Drosophila melanogaster: one gene and its partners. The protein of the gene in region 1 interacts with the protein of each later gene in a biochemical or structural test. Each region holds a gene or a part of one and is shown in the gene's direction. Other genes may lie near its edges. The genes, in order: Cdc6, Orc3, Orc2 and Orc5.

What was found.
Region 2: the proteins of Cdc6 (region 1) and Orc3 form a complex in vitro, tested with the Drosophila melanogaster proteins (one study listed by BioGRID).
Region 3: the proteins of Cdc6 (region 1) and Orc2 form a complex in vitro, tested with the Drosophila melanogaster proteins (one study listed by BioGRID).
Region 4: the proteins of Cdc6 (region 1) and Orc5 form a complex in vitro, tested with the Drosophila melanogaster proteins (one study listed by BioGRID).

What each region holds. Positions count from the first base shown.
Region 1 is NT_037436.4:8,630,979-8,635,937, reverse strand, and holds Cdc6 (cell division cycle 6), read left to right. Parts: upstream 1-1,868; 5' UTR 1,869-1,988; coding exon 1,989-3,558; intron 3,559-3,636; coding exon 3,637-4,055; 3' UTR 4,056-4,429; downstream 4,430-4,959. Other genes in the region: Zasp66 (Z band alternatively spliced PDZ-motif protein 66), read right to left, coding at 186-257, 857-936, 1,155-1,355.
Region 2 is NT_033778.4:13,202,222-13,208,161, reverse strand, and holds Orc3 (origin recognition complex subunit 3), read left to right. Parts: upstream 1-1,614; 5' UTR 1,615-1,653; coding exon of another isoform or gene 1,654-1,781; intron 1,782-1,837; coding exon of another isoform or gene 1,838-1,982; intron 1,983-2,038; coding exon of another isoform or gene 2,039-2,164; intron 2,165-2,236; coding exon of another isoform or gene 2,237-2,386; intron 2,387-2,445; coding exon of another isoform or gene 2,446-2,686; intron 2,687-2,761; coding exon of another isoform or gene 2,762-2,772; 5' UTR 2,773-2,953; coding exon 2,954-2,980; intron 2,981-3,043; coding exon 3,044-3,847; intron 3,848-3,906; coding exon 3,907-5,144; intron 5,145-5,209; coding exon 5,210-5,306; 3' UTR 5,307-5,434; downstream 5,435-5,940. Other genes in the region: FLASH (FLICE-associated huge protein), read right to left, coding at 1-511, 566-756, 813-1,070; CG34315 (uncharacterized protein), read left to right, coding at 1,654-1,781, 1,838-1,982, 2,039-2,164, 2,237-2,386, 2,446-2,686, 2,762-2,772; ValRS (Valyl-tRNA synthetase), read right to left, coding at 5,568-5,940.
Region 3 is NT_033777.3:13,963,077-13,967,597, forward strand, and holds Orc2 (origin recognition complex subunit 2), read left to right. Parts: upstream 1-1,808; 5' UTR 1,809-1,857; intron 1,858-1,915; 5' UTR 1,916-1,931; coding exon 1,932-2,505; intron 2,506-2,573; coding exon 2,574-3,419; intron 3,420-3,489; coding exon 3,490-3,926; 3' UTR 3,927-3,999; downstream 4,000-4,521. Other genes in the region: Kots (kotsubu), read right to left, coding at 1-571, 656-798. UniProt on the Drosophila melanogaster protein: Component of the origin recognition complex (ORC) that binds origins of replication. DNA-binding is ATP-dependent, however specific DNA sequences that define origins of replication have not been identified so far.
Region 4 is NT_033779.5:13,827,968-13,832,097, forward strand, and holds Orc5 (origin recognition complex subunit 5), read left to right. Parts: upstream 1-1,869; 5' UTR 1,870-2,069; coding exon 2,070-3,167; intron 3,168-3,220; coding exon 3,221-3,505; 3' UTR 3,506-3,521; downstream 3,522-4,130. Other genes in the region: Arpc1 (Actin-related protein 2/3 complex, subunit 1), read right to left, coding at 249-1,309, 1,379-1,451; PolG2 (DNA polymerase gamma subunit 2), read right to left, coding at 3,522-3,916, 3,971-4,130. UniProt on the Drosophila melanogaster protein: Component of the origin recognition complex (ORC) that binds origins of replication. DNA-binding is ATP-dependent, however specific DNA sequences that define origins of replication have not been identified so far.

The sequences.
Region 1 (4,959 bases):
CAGGGGAAAACACGGGAAACTTGGCAAACATTCCTCATATTCAATTTAATTTGTCTCAAGGCAAGTTCAGGTACAATTCCACGTTCTTGCTCATTGTGCTTTCCATATCAAAGTGAAAGTGAAAGTGAAAGGATTCAATCAAAGAACGAAATCAGGCTGTGCTCAAGATATGAATTTACTTTTACCCGTTAAGTTTTGTTGGCAAAGGACGATGCAAAGGACTGTCCTTCAAGCGATTGCTTTCGCTTGTGGCGAAGCTACAACAATATACATAGAATATATATAGGATATATAGAGAGTGGTATATTTATATATGTAAATGTATATAAATGCATGTAAAACAGAGATCCGGCAGTAGGCAGTAGTAAGTAGTACGTACAACATCTATGGACTGGTTTTCGTGTTCAATCGTATGTTCGAATTGTGTGTGTTTCTCATTTCGTGTGTGCATCGGTTTAGTAAATTTCGTTTCGACTTTGATTTTGTGGCTTTTGGGTTAGTGGATTATGGCCGCAGCTTAACCAGGAACCAATTTTTCGGGTTATGTGGACCTTAGGCTACTCGTAACCGTGTGTTCGTGACTCGTTTTATTAGTTTTCAAGCTACTTGGCGCATTTCGAGTGGCTCTCTCTGTCTCTCTGGCAAAAAGAAAAGCTGCATCAAAAATTTCGAAGAACTCTACGCAGGTTTATTCGTAAATTGCAAAATCCAAAGAATATGTAGCGTAATTCATAGGCTTATAAGTTCAATTTGACAAGCGAATTCCAAAAGTTCATATATTAGTGTTTTTTTTTTTTCATTGTATCGAGCTAAGCATAGGAGTTTCCAGATGGTACATTTCTGGGTGACAACTTACGGAACTGTGGATCTGATGGTGTCCTCGATGTTGTTGTTGGAGTACAGGCCAATGGGCGAGTTGAATTGCTTGTGGAAGACCTAAAATCGGGGGATATATGTACACAAATGTAAGTAAAACCCATTACAACTTACACTTAAATTAAATACAATCAATTTCGTAACAGGATTAGAACAAAGACTACAGGTCACGAATTCGAAATGTTAACATTGAAAATATCAATTTTAAATGTAGAAAACTCTAGTTTTTGTAATTTTCCATTATGTGGGTGTGACTTTAAGAAGTCCCCTGTACTTACGCGGCCAGTGTCGGCTTCCGAACCGACCACCTTGTGCAGCATGGTGTCGGCCACGCGCTGCTTCATGATACTGTCATGGTAGTCGTGTCCTGGGTGGGCGCGCACAGCCGGGTTGGGGTAGTGCCTCAAGTAGGACTCTGTCGTGGGCGCATCCTTCTTCACTTTGGCGCCGGGCAGGACCAGCGGAGTTGTACGGTAGGGCTGGAAAGCGGATCGGTGAAGATTAACGACTTTGTTTACGCCGAAATGGGGCACACATTTGGCCGACCAGCCGTTGCGGCAAATGATAATATAAATAAATCAGACAGAGATTAAAAGAGTTTCTAGAAATCACCAGATCTTTGCCCACTGTGCTACGTATTTCTCCTTCGAGCGTGTGTGTGCATAATTTTTTTCGCTATATCTAAATTCCATTTTATGTGCGCCCGTTTATATACTTTAAAAATATCCCATAGCCAGGGGAAATATTTTTAGGCGCTTACGTAAGCGTGTTCAACGTCCAGCGATTTGTGTTTTCTATCTGCCGCGGACCATTTTATTTTTACCAGGCCGTCCACACGCGAGTATGTAAGTAATTCAATATAGGCGGACTGCTGTTTGAAATGTTGTAACTATGCGCGCCTAATCGATAGGCGATCGACAATAGGCAGCTCTGGGCTAGAGCTGCCAGATGACCAGACCAGGCTTGATCAGCTGTTGCTCGTGGCGAATGGCAAACTCAATTTGCGCGCTTTTTTAACTGTGACTGCCAGCTGAAAATTGTAACGCACGCTGTGGCTTATTTAACTCGTATTTAATAGTAACTAACTGCTGATCAATAAACTAAGCTAAAGAATGGCTGCCGTACGCCGCTCCACGCGCCTTAGTAGCATCAGCAAAGCGACCGCCGCCTCTCCGCTGCCGCCGTCGACGCAGACGCCGCGTCGCTCGGAAGTTTGGAAACGCAGGCAGCCGAAAAAAGTGCTTGCCGATAGCGACGAGGAGGAGGAGGTGGTGACGGCGATCTATGACCTGACCAGCCCCGTTTCAGAGAACAACGAGAACCGCAACGTGCTCAACAAAATGGACAAGATCTCCAGGCGCAGGACATCGCAAGTGCAGGTGGCTCAATCGGAGCTGCCAAAGACGCCACGCAGCACAAAGAAAACAGTCCAATCAGCTGGCAGTTCACGGGCCAAACGTGAGGAGGAAAACCGTGAGGCCACCGCTAGATTCTTGGAGGGCGAACAGGATTCGGAGGTGGACCCGCTTCATGGATCGCCGCCGAAGCAGAGGAAGTTGCAGCCACTGCCACAGCACCTGATCAGTCCTTCGCGGCTGCTGGACAGACTCAGCATCGACGAGCGCCAGGAGGAAGAGGTGGAGGCGACCACACACAAGACTGAAACGGCTGAGCAGCAGCCGAAACATCAAGCCAAGGACGAGGCAAAGCCTCGGCCAAAACAGCAGGAGGATCCATTAGCGCAAAAGCAGCAGGAGAAACCTCCAACAAAGCAGCCGAATAAAAACCAAACTAAAGAAAAAAGCAATATCCAAACCAATGAGGAAACCCAACAGAATAACCTGCCATCTCCCTCACGCAACAAATACCAAAACGCCAGACGAGTGCTCAACAGCGCCGAGACACAAAACTTGCCAGGACGTGAGTCCCAGCTCCAAGAGCTACGTGAATTCTTCAGCAATCACCTGGAAAGCCAGACTTCCGGCAGCCTCTATGTCTCCGGTCAGCCAGGAACAGGCAAGACCGCCTGCCTATCGCTACTGCTGAGAGATCCCGACTTCTCCAAGCGTCTGCAACGTGTGTACATTAACTGCACCAGCATAGCAAGTGTAGGAGCAGTTTACAAGAAACTATGCACCGAACTGCAGCTCAAAGTCAGCGGTCGCACAGAGAGAGATCACTTGGAGGCCATTCAGCGTCACCTAAAGACAGCAAAGCGAATGCTTCTGCTGGTGCTGGACGAGATTGATCAGCTCTGCACCAGCAGGCAGGAGGTGTTGTACACGATCTTCGAGTGGCCAGCTCTTCCCGGCTCCAGGATACTGCTCGTGGGCATTGCCAATAGTTTGGATCTCACAGATCGTGCGCTGATGCGACTGAATGCAAGGTGCGAGCTGAAGCCCAGACTGATGCACTTCCCGCCCTACTCCAAGCAGCAGATCGTGGAGATATTCAAGTCGCGTCTGGCTGAGGCGGAAGTGCTGGACGTCTTTCCACCCGTGACCCTGCAGCTGCTGGCCGCCAAGGTGAGTGCGATCAGTGGAGATGTGCGAAGGGCCCTGGACATTGGACGACGAGTGGTCGAGATAGCAGAGCAGCAGAAGCGCGATGGCGAAAAGGAGTTCAATATGAAGGCCCTGCAGCTGGAGGGCAAGGATGCGGTGGAGGCCAAGGAAAAGCAAGGTAAACCTTCGTTTCTTTAGTATATAAAGATAAATTTATAGAATGTGTTAAAAAGAAATCCTATCTTGACTATTTCAGACACTCTAAAGCCTGTTCAGGTCACCCAAGTGGCTGCAGTGCTGAACAAGGTCTACGGTGCCTCACAGAATCTGGAGGAGGACATCGAGGCATCATTTCCGCTGCAGCAAAAGCTAATGCTGTGCACCCTGGTGCTGATGCTGCGCAACGAGCGCAACAAAGACATCAGTATGGGTCGCCTGCACGAGGTCTACAGGAGAGTGTGCGCCAAACGCAACATCCTGGCCCTGGACCAAGCGGAGTTCACTGGGACTGTGGATCTGGTCGAGACCCGAGGCATTCTGCGAATCATGCGCAAAAAGGAGCCGCGCCTGCACAAGGTTCTGCTGCAGTGGGACGAGGAGGAGGTGCATGCGGCACTGAGCGACAAGCAGCTGATCGCCTCGATCCTCAGCGATACCGCCTGCCTGAGCAAGTGACGATCTGGACGATTACCTCTAGGAAATGAGTGTGCCCGACAAACCGCTGGTTAATTGCGCATTTTTCTCATTTTCATTCACCTTGGGGACGAACGTATATGTATAGGAATACTTTTTGACGCTAATTTTAAAATTCGTGGCTGGCGCAAGCACTGAAATATTTTGAAATATCATTTGACGGTCACTTTCGACATTTTCTGCTATTTTCTGACTATTAATTGAATCGATTCTTTTAGACTTTGTGTGTGTCATAAATCTAAGTAAATGTTGCGCCCATAATCTATTTCTAATCCGATCCGTTGACCAATAAGTTATAGAGAATCCCCTTCCTGTTAGCCCTAAGCAAATAAGAATAAACTAGATAGTTCCGCAATACATAAAACGCAAAAGTGAAAACGTTTTCCACTTTCGCTGCGCCGCAAGTTTGAATCTTGGGTCGTGCCAAAAGTTGTGAAAATCTTAGGGAAAGTCTGTTGCCATTGTTTTCTGAGGCGTTTTCAGAACATACCAGTCAAATTAACACCAGTGCTTCTGAATTTGTGTGGGCTTTTGTTGGCCATCTCGACATGAAATTAATTTGTTCTATAATCATTTTGTTTATTTATTTGCTGGCTTATTGTTGTTCTTCCTGCGCTCTCTGCTCTAAAAATATCCCCATTTGAGTGGTATGAATTACATTGAGCACCACCGACACAACCAGAGCGCAATGAAAAATATGTTTCAAAAACTCTGGTTGCCTTTCGACGCGTATTGACGAAAGGCGAACAAATGTTTGAATAATAAGCTATATGCAGAGAGGCCAGCTAGATATATGCATGAATGTATCTATAGGTATATGGCGTTCTATATTCCTATTCCTCAAAAATACATATATTTCTGAGGGAGCAGTAAGGCGAAAAACCTC
Region 2 (5,940 bases), on another chromosome or scaffold:
GTGCCGGGAACTGCTTTCTTGATTCCTGTGATGATCTCGCCGGGAATTATGTTTTGGACTCCGGCTGCGATGTGGATCTGGACGACGAGCCTGTGCAGTAGATTTCCGATCGGTGGTCTTTGAGTGTTCCGGCCTGGGAGACTTGCTTCTTTGGACCGATTTCTTGGCGTCTTCTCTTGTCCTAGATTTCCAAGCATCATCCTTTGAGGATGACTTCTTGTCATCATCTTTATTGGTCGCCATCTTATTATCCTCCTTGGATTTTACGCCTCTTTCAACATCTTTTGATACGACTTTCGTTGTGTCATCTTTTTTGGTCATCATCTTCCTAGCATCATCCTTAGCGGCGTCCTTTGCAGCCGTTTTGAACGGATTTCTATTCGTTTCCGGATATTTCCTGACATCGATTGGTGTAGATTGAAATTCTTTCGGACGCTTACTTTCGGGTTCCCTTGCACCTGGTACGTCAAACGCCCGTGCTCGTTTTCGTCGGAAGCATACATCGTCCTTTCTGTTGAACAATGTGTTGTTTGTTAAGAAGCAGGGAGTCAATATGCTAACTTACTCGTTTCGCAGCTCGGCAATCAGTGTCTCTTTTCTCTTTACCTCCGCCTTAGCTGTGTCCAGTAGATTCTGTAGATTAACCTCCATGGTTTTTATCTTCTTGCCAAGTGCCTTATTCTCAACCTTTAGCGCTTCAATTTCGGCCAGTGCCTTTTCGTATTTGGCTTCCCATGCCTGTAGCTCCTTGGTATTCTGTGAGATGGTAAATGGGTAACTCTGCTGAAAGGACGTATTCCTGCACAACTTACACGATCTTCGGCCTTCTGAAAGTCGTCCAAATCATCGTAGATGTCCAGTTCAAGGGATCTGTCCATTTGGTCAGGCTTCTTTGAACCTGCAGGCTCTATATCGTACAAATCGTGATAGATATCCAAATCCATGGATTTATCCTTAACGTTGGACTTCATCCCGCCCGCGTCCTGGTCTTCCAAATCCATCAAGTCCTCCAGAGCTTCGGGCAGCACCAGTTCTCCGCCAGATTTCGTGGCATATGCAGGCGTTTCCATACCAATCGCTTACGTTTCTTCTTGGCTGCCCTTTAAACAAGGATACATAAAATGAATTGTTAGAGTTACTGTTTTTTAATGGAGCTACTTTATTGATTACCTGTTCAGTCATAAATTGATCAAAATTCGAAACACAAAAGAATTTCAATGTTCTTGATTTTTGTTTCAGGGAATAAAAGTTCCACTAAAGCTCAATGGTCACTGTCCTGAGCATTTCCTCCAAACTGGCGTGCAATTTGTTTCCCTGCCGTGTATTTGTATAAATGTAATTATTATTATTATTCTATTTAATATTGTTAGAAAATCCCGTGTTGCCGCCAATCGATAACAGAAGATGCAGTTGATTATCGGAAGCAACAGCTGACCGGCTGAAAATGTGGCAACCCTGATAGTGGATATCGATATCCAGCAGCAACATTTGGCGCCAAAACGAATATTTTAAAAATTTTATTATGCACTTACGTGTTTTCCCAAGAATATAATTTTAAAATCAATCTAGTTCCCATTTCGTATTACTGTACACTTAAATTCGTTAAAAAAAAACATCACAATACAAACAATAATACTCGAGAAACACTACACAATGGCAGACATTCCGGAAAAAAGTTCTTACTACAAGAAGGAAAGAAGAAAGTTCGCTCTGATCACTTACCTACTAACCGCGATATTCCTGATCCTTGCGCTGTTGCAATGGGCCACTTTCCGCTTTGTGTACGTATGTATTTTCACATTACTTCATCCTCACTGCACTTTTTCTTAATTTTCAGAAATTTTCTAAGGGAATTTTTTACTTCGTACCATTGGTTGAGCTGCCTTTTTTTTGGAATAGGCCTGATACTCCTCGTACTTTTCATATTTTTCGAGGTACTGCGCTTTAATAAAATGGTAAACTGGTTGTTTGCCTTTCTAATTGTAAGTCTACAATGTGAAACATAACCTGGGTGGCAGTATGAACTTATTCTTTCCAGTTTGAATGCATTGTACTGGGGATTGCACCGCTGGTTGCCCGCCACTACAAGTATCAGTTTCTCTTCAGCTTCCTTATATGGACCGTAGCATTGGCGCTTTTTATTGTCTGTGGTTCCTTTCTTCCGGTAAGAAGAGTCCACATGAAAGCCATTTGATTCAAATCTGAAGCTTCACATTTTTATTGTTATCCCCTTAAGCTGGATCTTACTTTGGATGTTGTGGTGCTATTTGTGCTTGCAGTGGTTTCCATTATCGGCGCCATATACTTCGTGATGCTCTACATCGTGGCTAATGTCGCATACTCGTTTATAATCGCCCGTTGCTTTATAGTGATCAGCATCTTGATGGTTAGTACTGAGTCATACATTTTTGAATTAGTTTCTGTCATTTAGTTTCCTCCTTACAGTTTGTCATGTATCACGCGCAGATTATAAACGGTGGAAGGTTCGCCGAGATGCGCACGAAGGACTACTTCCTGGCAGCCATCATACTGTTCCTCGATTTCCTGCTCCTCTATCTTTTCTCATTCCAAGTGGCCCCAAAATGGTCGGATCGTTGCGATGGCGAACGTTCAAAAAACTTGGTGCTGTTCACAGAAACTACGACGAATTCGTATCCACCAAAATGGTGGCGTACGAGCACGAAGGGTATGATTTCTTATTATTAGTTCATGTTAGATGAAATATTCAATTAATTTATACTTTTCACACTTGTTTTCAAAGATACCCCCTAAAGTCGTTAGCCAACACTGCCGCCCGTTTGGCGCCAAACACAACAGCCAGCTGATTTCATTTCGCGTTCCTACCGGTGAAGAAACTTTAATTGGCACAGAGCTGACCTAAACAAATAAATAAATAAACGCAACCCGGCGACTTAAAGACTCCACGACATCGGGCCGCAGTGCAAAGCCAGCGATGGATCCCACCATTTCAGTGTCCAAGGTGAGTGGCTTCGGCTTCCAAACTGGACATAGATGTTTAACTACTTATTTTTGTTGTCTGCAGGGCTGTTTTGTCTACAAAAATGGCGCTACGAGAGCAGGGAAAAAGGCGGCCAGCAAACGGAAGCGTCCTGCCGCAGAATCCAGTAGTCTTCTTGGCAAAGAGGTAGTGCAGCAGCCCTTCTATGAGGAATATCGCAAGGCCTGGAATCAGATAAACGATCACATTGCCGACCTGCAGCACCGCAGCTATGCCCGCACTCTGGAGCAACTGGTGGACTTTGTGGTGGGGCAGGCAGAGCGCGACACCCCGGACGAGGTGCTGCCCACCGCCGCCTTGCTAACGGGCATTAATCAGCCGGATCATCTCAGCCAGTTCACGGCACTTACCCAGCGACTCCATGCCCAACGTGCTGCAATGGTATGTGTGCTGCAGTCCAGGGATTGCGCCACTCTCAAGGCGGCCGTTGAGACATTGGTTTTCGGGCTCGTAGAAGATAATGCAGAAGTGGAGCAAATGGAAGACGAGGACGAGGACGAGGATGGTGCCGAACGGGATCGCAAGCGGCTACGTCGCTCGCAGTGCACCATGAAGCAGTTGAAGTCTTGGTACACGAACAATTTTGACTCGGAACAGAAGCGCCGCCAGCTGGTCGTCATCCTTCCCGACTTTGAGTGCTTTAACGCAAGCGTGCTGCAGGATCTTATTCTAATTTTGAGCGCTCACTGCGGCTCGCTTCCATTCGTCCTGGTCCTGGGAGTGGCCACGGCCATGACAGCTGTCCATGGGACACTACCATACCACGTCAGCAGCAAGATTCGTCTAAGGGTGTTCCAGACTCAAGCTGCTCCCACGGGCCTTAATGAGGTAATATTCCTTAACTCTGTGCTAGTTTATGTACTAATCGGTTTTCTAACAACCTTTAGGTGCTGGATAAAGTTCTGCTGTCGCCCAAGTACGCTTTCCACCTGTCGGGAAAGACATTCAAGTTCCTGACGCACATCTTCCTATACTACGACTTCTCCATCCACGGCTTTATTCAGGGCTTCAAGTACTGCCTGATGGAACACTTCTTTGGTGGGAATGCCTTTGCTCTTTGCACAGACTACAGCAAAGCATTGGGACGCATAAAGCAGCTGACCCACGAGGATATGGAAACCATCAGAAGGCTCCCATCGTTTCGTCCGTACGTCGAGCAGATCAATGATTGCAAACGCATCATAGCCGTGCTCACGGACGATGACTACCTAAAGAAGAAACTGCCGCAGTTGCTGCGCGACTGCCTGCTCCACTTCCTGCTTTTCCGCTGCTCTCTGGAGTTCCTTACAGAGCTGGTTGGTGATTTGCCGCGCTGTCCGCTGGGAAAGCTACGCCGGGAACTGTACGTCAACTGTCTTAATCGTGCGATCATTTCGACGCCGGAGTACAAGGAGTGCCTGCAGATGCTAAGCTTTCTGTCCAAGGACGAATTTGTTGCTAAAGTGAATCGAGCCCTGGAAAGAACCGAACAGTTCCTGGTTGAAGAAATTGCTCCGCTGGAATTGGGCGAGGCCTGCACTGCTGTGCTGAGACCTAAGTTAGAAGCTATACGCCTTGCAGTGGACGAAGTGGTCAAGGCCACCATGGCGACAATTACAACGACATCGCCCAATGAAACCCGCCAGGCGACTGACCATTTGACTCCGGTGGCCTCGCGTCAAGAATTGAAAGATCAGCTCCTACAGCGTAGCAAGGAGGACAAGATGCGGCATCAGCTGAACACGCCCACCACCCAATTCGGACGAGCTCTACAAAAGACTCTGCAGCTTATCGAAACGCAGATTGTACAGGATCATCTCCGTGCGCTGCAGGATGCACCACCTATTCACGAACTTTTTGTGTTCAGCGACATTGCTACCGTGCGGCGAAACATAATTGGTGCTCCGCGGGCTGCACTGCACACTGCCCTGAATAATCCACATTTTTACATGCAGTGCAAGTGCTGCGAGCTACAAGATCAATCACTGCTGGTTGGCACACTGCCCGATCTCTCCGTGGTTTACAAGCTGCACCTGGAGTGCGGTCGCATGATCAACCTTTTCGACTGGCTGCAGGCCTTTCGATCTGTTGTGAGCGACAGCGACCACGAGGAAGTGGCCCAGGAACAAATCGATCCCCAGATCCAGTGAGTAAAAAAATGGATTTCTCTCTGTAATATCATCAATTTCATTTGGTTTTCCTTTCAACCAGGGCCCGATTCACGCGTGCCGTAGCCGAGTTGCAGTTTCTGGGGTACATTAAGATGTCGAAGCGCAAGACGGATCATGCCACTCGATTAACCTGGTAGCTCGCTCGGGCTATGAATAACCAAAATCCCTTAGGTATTTTTATCTTTTCTATTTATTTATATTGGGGCAAATTTCATGTGTGGGACGTTATGAATAAATAAAACATCAATCGATTTGTCTACTCTGTACGAAATGCATTAACTTTGTTTGCGAGTGAAGCGCGTTCTTGTATTTTTTAAGTAAAGCCCAGCAGCTGGCAAGGCAAGCGTACTAAATATCAATTACCAGTCTTCCCGACTAGCGGTTACCACGTTCCCTGTTCACATTAGTTTCAGAGTCTCGATGGCGGCAGCGATGCGTTCGATCTCTGCCCGCGACTCGCAGAGTTTTGTCTCGTTGGCCTCCTGCACCTCGGCGGGAACCTTAGTTGCGTAGTCGGCGGCCTGGATGGCCTGAGTTAGCTTGCCCACCGTCTGCACCAGCTGGTCGCTCTTCTTCTGCAGCTTGGCTATCTCCTTGTCCGCCTCCACGAGTCCCTTGAGCAGCAGGTGCACCTCGCACTGGCCCGTCACGGTGAGGATCGCACAGCCCTGCGGTGCGGGACTGTCAAAGACCACATTGGAGCAGTAGGAGATTGTGGCCAGATCGCTGGCGTAGCGTTTGAGTATTTCACTGGGCACCGAATCCGTGCAT
Region 3 (4,521 bases), on another chromosome or scaffold:
GAGCGTCAAGTTCTTAATGTCCTGAACTCCAGTGTTCGTGGGCAATTGAACACGGAAAGCGAACGCCTTGCTTTCGGCCATCTTGGGCACAATGGTGTAGATATCCCGAAACGGTGTAGCTACTATCTGACCGTGGTCAATCATACGGACATTGGCTTCTTGCTTCTTTTGGCAAACCGTCAAAACATGACCGCGATGGACCTTGTCGCCCACACTGATGGCCACGAGGGTGTCCTCCCGCACTCCTTCCATACGAATCATCTTCTTATTCTGCATGCAGCGCTGCATGTTGACCGTCATTCGCTCAATGGCCTCCACATTCGCCACGTGCACCACCCAAATGGGTCCATCGTTCTCCATGAAAGTCACGCGGCACTTGAAAAACTCCATGCCCGACGGCAGCAAATGTTTGCGCCAGTTTTCCGATAGATCCGGCTTGTTCGGCACAGCAACTGTGGGCTCCACACATGGGATTGGCGATTTAGTGCGAGTTTTAGCCAGAGCAACTTGGTTCTCTACGCTCTGGATTGGATTCAACGCCGGTTGAAGAGGCCGGCACTCCACCAAGGGTCTGGAAACGCATTTGTATTGTATAAGAATTAAAAACCCCTAACTTAATGCACTGCTGCGCAACGGATTTACTAATTTAACTCACGGCATAATGATGCACACCTGCCTGTGCCTCTGCCAATCCAATTTCTGGCACTTTTCATTGCAGTACGGTTCTCCACACCGCTGGCACATCAATCTGGTCGGAGTGCCACAGACGACGCATGTCTTTTCCTCCGACTTTTCCATTTCTTCAATTCAAAGTAACAACGCAAGAACGTGTGAATGAAAGAACGGCGCGTTAAAGGAAACGCAGCAAAATGGCGCTAACAGAACTTTTAGCACGCGATGAAATACAAAGTGAAAATCTATTTACGCTGGACGAGAACTTTCTATGTTTTCGTTTTGAAAAAGGTGGAATCCTTTAGAATTTAAGTGCGCGATTCACAACTCACAAACATGCGATACGTTCACTAAACGCGTTTAAATTCGAAGCTCGCTGGGCACGCGCTTCAGTGCATTGAACGAACGTGGGAAGAAAGAGAACAGGACGATATCGATATCGGTTGGTTTTCGATTTACAGCGCACTGATGGAAGTAAACTTGATCGTTAATTAAAAAAGGAAAAATAAGGCTTACGAAGTTTTTAAACTTTAATTAAAACGACACAACATATGCTAAATATTCTACATATTCCAGTTACAATCAATTTCGCCAAGCCATTTTCATGGAAGTTGAATACTCTTTGAACCTGTTTGAATATATCTGAAAACGCAAATCTACTTTGTGTTATTATTTTGCCAATATAGGCAATATTATTTGAAAATTAACCGCAAGTCCATTGACGACCGCAATTCAGAATAAGAACGTAGCGTAATTTTCCCATCTTCAAATATTGTTTTTCCTAAACTTACCGATTTTAACACTTTTTAGTTTTAAAAACGTTTGTGGTTAATCCGCAAGGAATTTGTGACAGTGAAAAAATAACCGCTTTGTACGCGCACGTGTTGCCAACAAACACTTCAGCTTTTGTCAGTGACTGGATTCTAATTTAAATTTATCGATAACGTATGCAATTCTTATTCGAACAATATAGTTATTTCTAAAAACTGTGTCACGGAATTTCTTTTTGTAATTATTACCTATATAAATATATATTTATACAAATATTTATAACATTTGTGTTTTAATTGTCATGCCCCTTTAGTTTTTTTTACGCTAGAAACTTAGCTACTTCCTAGGTCGAGAGCTGGCCACACTCTTGGCATGTCTTAGTTATCGATAATTCCCGCCACTTCTGAGCATTGAGTATATTTTGCGAACTATTTGTTTACCAATTGAATATTTTGATAATCAGGGCCCCCAGTGAAGTGGCAAGCGTCATGAGTGCCAGCAACAAAGGCGGTTACAAGACGCCGCGGAAGGAGAACCTCATGTCCATTGAGAACCTCACCAATTCGGAGGAGGAATCCGAGGACTTGAACACGGCAATGGTTGGGAATGCAGTGGAATCTCAGCCCAAGGTCACCAGTCGGCGTTCCACCCGACGTCCAAGTCCCACCAAGAAATACCAGGCGTACCAGAAGGAAAGCAATGGAAAAGGCCAGGAAGAGCGAATTGTTGTGAACTATGTGGAAATGTCCGATGAACGGAGCAGCGATGCGGAGGATCAGGAAGAAGAAGAAAGCATCGAGGAGTCGGAAAATGCTGCCCGTCCCGCTGCCAAGGATCTGCATCTCATCCAATCCGAGTACAATGTGGCCGGCACCAGCATGTTTGGCTTCAATACGCCCAAGAAACGCGATGCCATGGCACTGGCCGCCCTAAATGCCACGCCCTGCACGCCCAAGACCCCAAAAACGCCGCGTTTGGGTGTCAAGACGCCGGATACGAAGCGCAAGAAGTCCATGGATCAGCCAAAGACTCCCGCCCATGTGCGCACCCGCGTCAAGAAGCGTGGGTAGCCTTTTTCTGCGTCCTTTTACCATTTTTTCCATTATTTATAAATTCATTATCACTTTCAGAGATTGCCAAAATAGTGGCCGACTCAGATGAGGATTTTTCTGGAGATGAAAGCGATTTCCGGCCCAGTGACGAGGAATCCTCCTCCAGCAGCAGTAGCAGCGATGCTGGCAACTCCTCTGACAACGACGCCGCCGATGATGAGCCCAAAACGCCCAGTAGAGCCCGCCGTGCCATTGTAGTCCCCGTTCTGCCGAAAACTCCATCGGCAGCCCGCCTGCGACAATCGGCGAGGGCGAAAAAATCGAATGAGTTTGTGCCCGAGAGCGATGGTTACTTTCACTCGCATGCCAGCAGCAAGATCCTCACTTCGGATCACACCTTGGATCGCCTAAAGAATCCTCGCCTGGCCGCCGATCGTGTTTTCAGTTTGCTGTCGGAAATCAAGACATCGGCGGAGCATGAGGGTTCTATTAATGCCATTATGGAGGAGTATCGATCGTACTTTCCCAAGTGGATGTGTATTCTGAACGAAGGCTTCAATATACTTCTATATGGATTGGGCTCCAAGCACCAGCTGCTGCAGTCATTCCATCGGGAAGTTTTGCATAAGCAAACGGTATTGGTGGTGAATGGCTTCTTTCCCAGTCTGACCATCAAGGATATGCTGGATAGCATCACAAGCGACATATTAGATGCGGGCATTAGTCCGGCTAATCCACATGAAGCAGTGGATATGATCGAGGAGGAGTTCGCACTGATACCGGAAACACATTTGTTCTTAATCGTCCATAATCTGGATGGAGCCATGCTTCGCAATGTGAAGGCACAGGCGATTCTTTCGCGCCTGGCGCGCATACCGAACATTCATCTACTGGCCTCCATTGATCACATAAATACCCCACTGTGTGAGTGCACCGATGCTTTGAGATCTTTATAGTGCGACAGCAAAACTAATTATTGTTTACGAATTTGCAGTGTGGGACCAGGGAAAGCTGTGCAGCTTCAACTTCTCGTGGTGGGACTGCACAACAATGCTGCCATATACGAACGAAACTGCGTTCGAGAACTCGCTGCTGGTGCAGAATTCCGGCGAATTGGCCCTCTCCTCGATGCGCAGTGTCTTCTCATCGCTAACGACCAATTCGCGTGGCATTTACATGCTGATTGTTAAGTATCAATTGAAGAACAAGGGCAATGCCACATACCAGGGCATGCCGTTCAGGGATCTCTATTCGAGTTGTCGCGAAGCATTTTTGGTCAGCTCAGATCTGGCACTGCGTGCCCAGCTCACCGAGTTCCTCGACCACAAGCTGGTCAAATCGAAACGGAGCGTTGATGGCTCCGAACAGCTAACCATTCCCATTGATGGCGCACTGCTGCAGCAGTTTCTCGAGGAGCAGGAGAAGAAATAGGCCATCGGCGTAATTTTAGAACATATTAATTTATTATCTAATATTGTTAAATACAATTACAATTTCGCTTTTTAAAAATGTTGTGTTGCTGTCACTTGTATTGCCCATGATGAGTGCGCAGTGTTTGTTTTCGCTCTTTTTTATTTTTTTGTCAATTTCTACACATTAAGATTGGCATGCATAAAATTTGTCGCTTTGCTCGAAGATACACATTCTAGGATGGCTAGTTTTTTTCCTCAGCTCCAGTTGCGAGCATATAGCAACACAAAACTTCACAAAGCACTGCAAGTGCTCGACGACTGCGGGGATGAGAGCGCATTTGGATACGATTTTAAGGATCAGAAGAGGCGAACTAAACATAGCTAAGCATGCCAAAAATGATAAGACTCACTACCGCCTGACCATTCCGTGCTCCTCATCCATTCCAAAGGCTAATATCGGTTACCTATTCACTATACAGACACGCACATACACAGATTAAAGCGTTGGACTTGTAACTAGTTAATTGTGCACTCGAAACGAAATGTAATTGCTGCGACTAAGGCTAGTTTATTTACACTTTCTTGATAGCAAATCACATGCGAAGTCAATCGGA
Region 4 (4,130 bases), on another chromosome or scaffold:
CAGTTTGCTATAAAGGTGAAACACTTTAAAACACACACACACTTTCGGAACCATTATGGAAGTTGGTGGGGGGGGGGGGGGGGAAAGAACAATCTCTTCGGTTAATTTATGTAAAAAGGCTTTCGCACGGTACAGAACAATGGGAAAAGCGATTTTGGAAAACATTTTGGCAAATACTTCGCTCCTGGCCAGGCCAACACACTCGCTAACAGACAATAACACGTAACGCTGGTCCGTTCCGGGCCGCACTAGATCTGCAGGTTGCGCATGCCGCCATTGATGCCGCCCTGCTCCACATTCCAAATGACCAGCTGCCCGTCGACGCCCGAGGTGGACACCTTGGTGGCGCTCGCCTTGTCGCCGGCATACAGTCGCACGCTGGTGATGGCGTTCTGATGTATGGAATCGACCACCGTGTCCGTGTTCTCCGTGCGCATGTTGCGGTCCATCGACTGAAAGATTCTCATGGCGGTAATGCCGCTCGACTCCTTCTTCTGCGACTTATCGAGCTTGCCGCTCAGCACCAGCTTTCCATCGGCAGTCAGACTGTAGAGCAGTGGCACACAGCTATAGCCGGCCACCACGACGGACGTGGGCGAGACCCATTCGCATGACAGGAAGGGCAGATAGCCGGTGCGGCATCGAATGACCGTATTGCCATTGGTAGCGTCCGCGATGCTCACGCAGCTGTCGTGGCCCACCCAGCAGACCTTGTTACCGTCGCTGGAGAAGCTCACGCTGTTAATCCAGCCGCCACCCGAGGTCTGCGAGTTGCGGAACTCGGCCATTAGCTGGCCAAGGGGCTTGCGATTGCCCCACGGCGTCGGCGTCGGTGGCTCCTCGATGTCCTTGATGAAGGCCGAGAAAACGCGCACCTTGTAGTCCGTGGAGCCGGCCAGCAGCAGAACGTTGTTCGGATGCCAGTCCAGCGAAGTGACCGTAGAGCGGATCGGCTTCTTGATGTGCTTCGACACCCACCAGTCGTTCTCCGACTCGAAATAGCACACGGATATGAGTCGGGCGCCCGAACCCACAGCGAACTTGTTCTCCGCCGGCGACCACTTGACGCAGGTTGCCGCCCGATTGATGCGCAGCAGCACCAACGCCGGCTTCCACTTGCCATCGTCGCCCTGCGTCCACACATAGGCATTACGGTCGGCGGCACAGCTCACAATCCGATTGGTGTTCTTGGCCCAGTCGATGCCCATGACGCGCAGATCGTGCTGGTTGAGCACGTCCGCCAGCTTCCAGTCGCTGCCCTCCCGGCTGTATATGTGGATCTCATGGTTGTTGGGCGATAAGGCAATCTCTGCGAATTTTTGGGAGTGGGTGGTGGTGAGTCACACTGTGCCGGATGAGTAATTTGGGTCGCACTTACGGGTTCGATCCTTGTTCCATGCGTGGCAGGTGATGGAGGCCAGCGAGGTGCCAAAGGTGTATGTCTCGGCCATCGTGGGTGGCTAAATGCGCTCGGAATGTGCAGTGTTCGCTCGTCCAAATCCAACCACACGCGTAGTTTCTTCGGTTCGGTTCGCCGGATTTTCGGATTTTGGATATCGCTGTGTAGCAATTGGGCGTTGTTTCCGCTGGATTTTAGCTTCGCTCTCGTTTTAATCGCGGACTCTGGGCCGTCAACACGATTAAGCTGGCGTTGCTGGGATGGATTCTGGCTTTGCCTGGGCCGGAAGAGTAGAGCGTTGTGGAAAAAACTCTTTGGAAAAGTAATGCACAAAATTAATCACCCGAAATTAGAGCTGGAACAAAAATCGATGGCCCTCAATACTATCGTTATTTCGTTATATCGATATTTTTCGATTGTTTGAAAAATGCTAAGGTACCAGTGCTGTTACGCACGTTCGGTATATACCAGAGGGAATAATTTGGCGCCATTTCAATGGTCACACTAAACAGAAACCATTTCTTGTAAACAAATTTTTAATAACTGGCTGGCTCGTAATTTATTTTTGTTATTTTATAAACCGAGGAAGTATTTTCCCTTTTGAAAGCCCGTTTAAATAACACCACTTCGCCTGTGGGTAGCTGAGGAAACTTAAAAGCAGACGACAGCTATGGAAGCCATCTGCTCCTCCTTGGAGCCGCTGTTTCCCTGTCGGGAGGCGGCCATTGAAACGCTGGGCGAGCTGATAGGAGATTCGAGTGAGACATATCCCTCGGCAATTTACCTATTCGGACACAGTGGAACCGGCAAAACAGCTCTGACCAGAGCTTTCCTCAAAGAATGTGGAAAACGGCAAAATGTCCGCACAGCGCATTTAAATGCCATCGAATGCTACACCACCAAGATAATGCTGGAGATCCTGTTAGACTCGCTGGCACCCGATCAAGGTGATGCGCTGAAGGTCGACAACATGCTGGACTTTGTGGAGCAGCTGCGTCGGCAGGCCGCTACACGCGTGGAGGATCAGGGATTTCTCATAGCCGTGGATAACGCGGAAAGGCTGCGCGACATGGATGCCAATGTGTTGCCCGTTCTTCTCCGACTGCAGGAGCTGACCAACCTGAATCTGTGCGTTATTCTGCTCTCCCAGCTGCCCTTTGAGAAGTTCTACAACAAGACCGGACTTAGTGAAATCGTCTGCCTGCACTTGGCGCAGTACAACAAGGCGGAGACACAGCGCATCCTGGGATCTGACTTTCAGCAGGTGCGAAATCAACTGCTGGAACAGTTCGCCCAGGATAAGAAGCGTCTGGAGATTTGCCAGGAAGCCGTAACTGAAGACTTCTACAACAACTATCTGAATCTCTTTCTGAGCGTCTTTTACAAAGCCTGTCGCGATGTTCCAGAGCTCCAGCTGACCGCCAGGAAGTGTCTGTCCACATACTTGGAGCCTGTACTCGACGGCACTGTGGATGCCACGGACATCTCCCGGCTTTGGCGGCATATAGCTGGACCACTGCGTTCCGCCTTAACCCAGATTTATATGCGAATTGAAAAACCCGCGGAAGAAGTTGAAGATTTCACCGCCATAGAAGATCAGAGCGTTCGCAAGCTGGCGCAGTCGCTGGAGCTGCCCTACTATGCCAAATTTCTGTTGATCGCTGCCTTCTTAGCCAGCCACAATGCCGCCAAGCAGGACAAGCGATTGTTCGTCAAGCACCATGGAAAACAGCGAAAGCGGATGCAGACGGTCAACGCCAGAGCCAAGGTGGGTTATTCAATTTTTCGATGACTCCATTTGCTTATTTTAATACCTTTTAGACCACGGAGAAAATGTCCACCACTTTGGGACCCAAATCCTTTAGCATCGATCGTTTGCTGGCCATTTTCTACGCCATTCTAGAGGAGAAAGTCGGTCTGACCTGCAACCTTCTCTCCCAGATCTCAACTTTGGTGCACCTCAATCTACTAAGCTTCGTCTCCGGCGAACAAAACATAATGGAAGGTTCCGCTAGGCTGCAGTGCACCATTGGCTTGGAGTTTGTCCTGCAGATTGGCAAGGTGGTGGGCTTTAATGTCCGCCAATATCTCTGCGACTTTATGTAGCCCCTGGTTGTTTTTTTTAGTTTTTAAATATATTTAATAAATAGTCCGGTACATCGCTTATGTGTATGGTCTCCGCCAGCCTTGTGTCCCGGCTGCGCAACTGCATCAGTCCGTTTCTTAGCGTTTGCTCGTTTATAACAAGTGTATAAGGTATGCCGAGCATATCCGTTTCCAGCAAGTGCTCTGCTAAATGAGAAGCGTTCTTCGTCGTACGAATTCCATCCCCTTCAGAAAGTCTAAGACCGGCGTGGTTGAGAACATGTTTCAGATGCTGACAAAGATCAGACAAGTCAGCAGATAGCTCGGAATCACTTTCCACACAGGCAATTCCACATTGATATGGCGCCAGAACGCGGTGTAAGAGCAGGGATTGCGAGTCCCGGCCATGATCACAGCCATCCAGAAGCAGAGCTAAAGGATAATAATATAGAAAGATTTTCAAAGATAGTTATGATGACCACTTACCGCAGGTGGTAGTTTCCAGCTCTATCACAGACCTTATGACAGTCGGTTGCACAATTTCACCCGTTCGCGCATCGGGCAGCCGGAAGTCTTTGTCGTCCACTATTCTCACCAGGCTCAGTTGCTCCACGGTCACTTCTCCTGCATCACCGTAGCTCGTGCG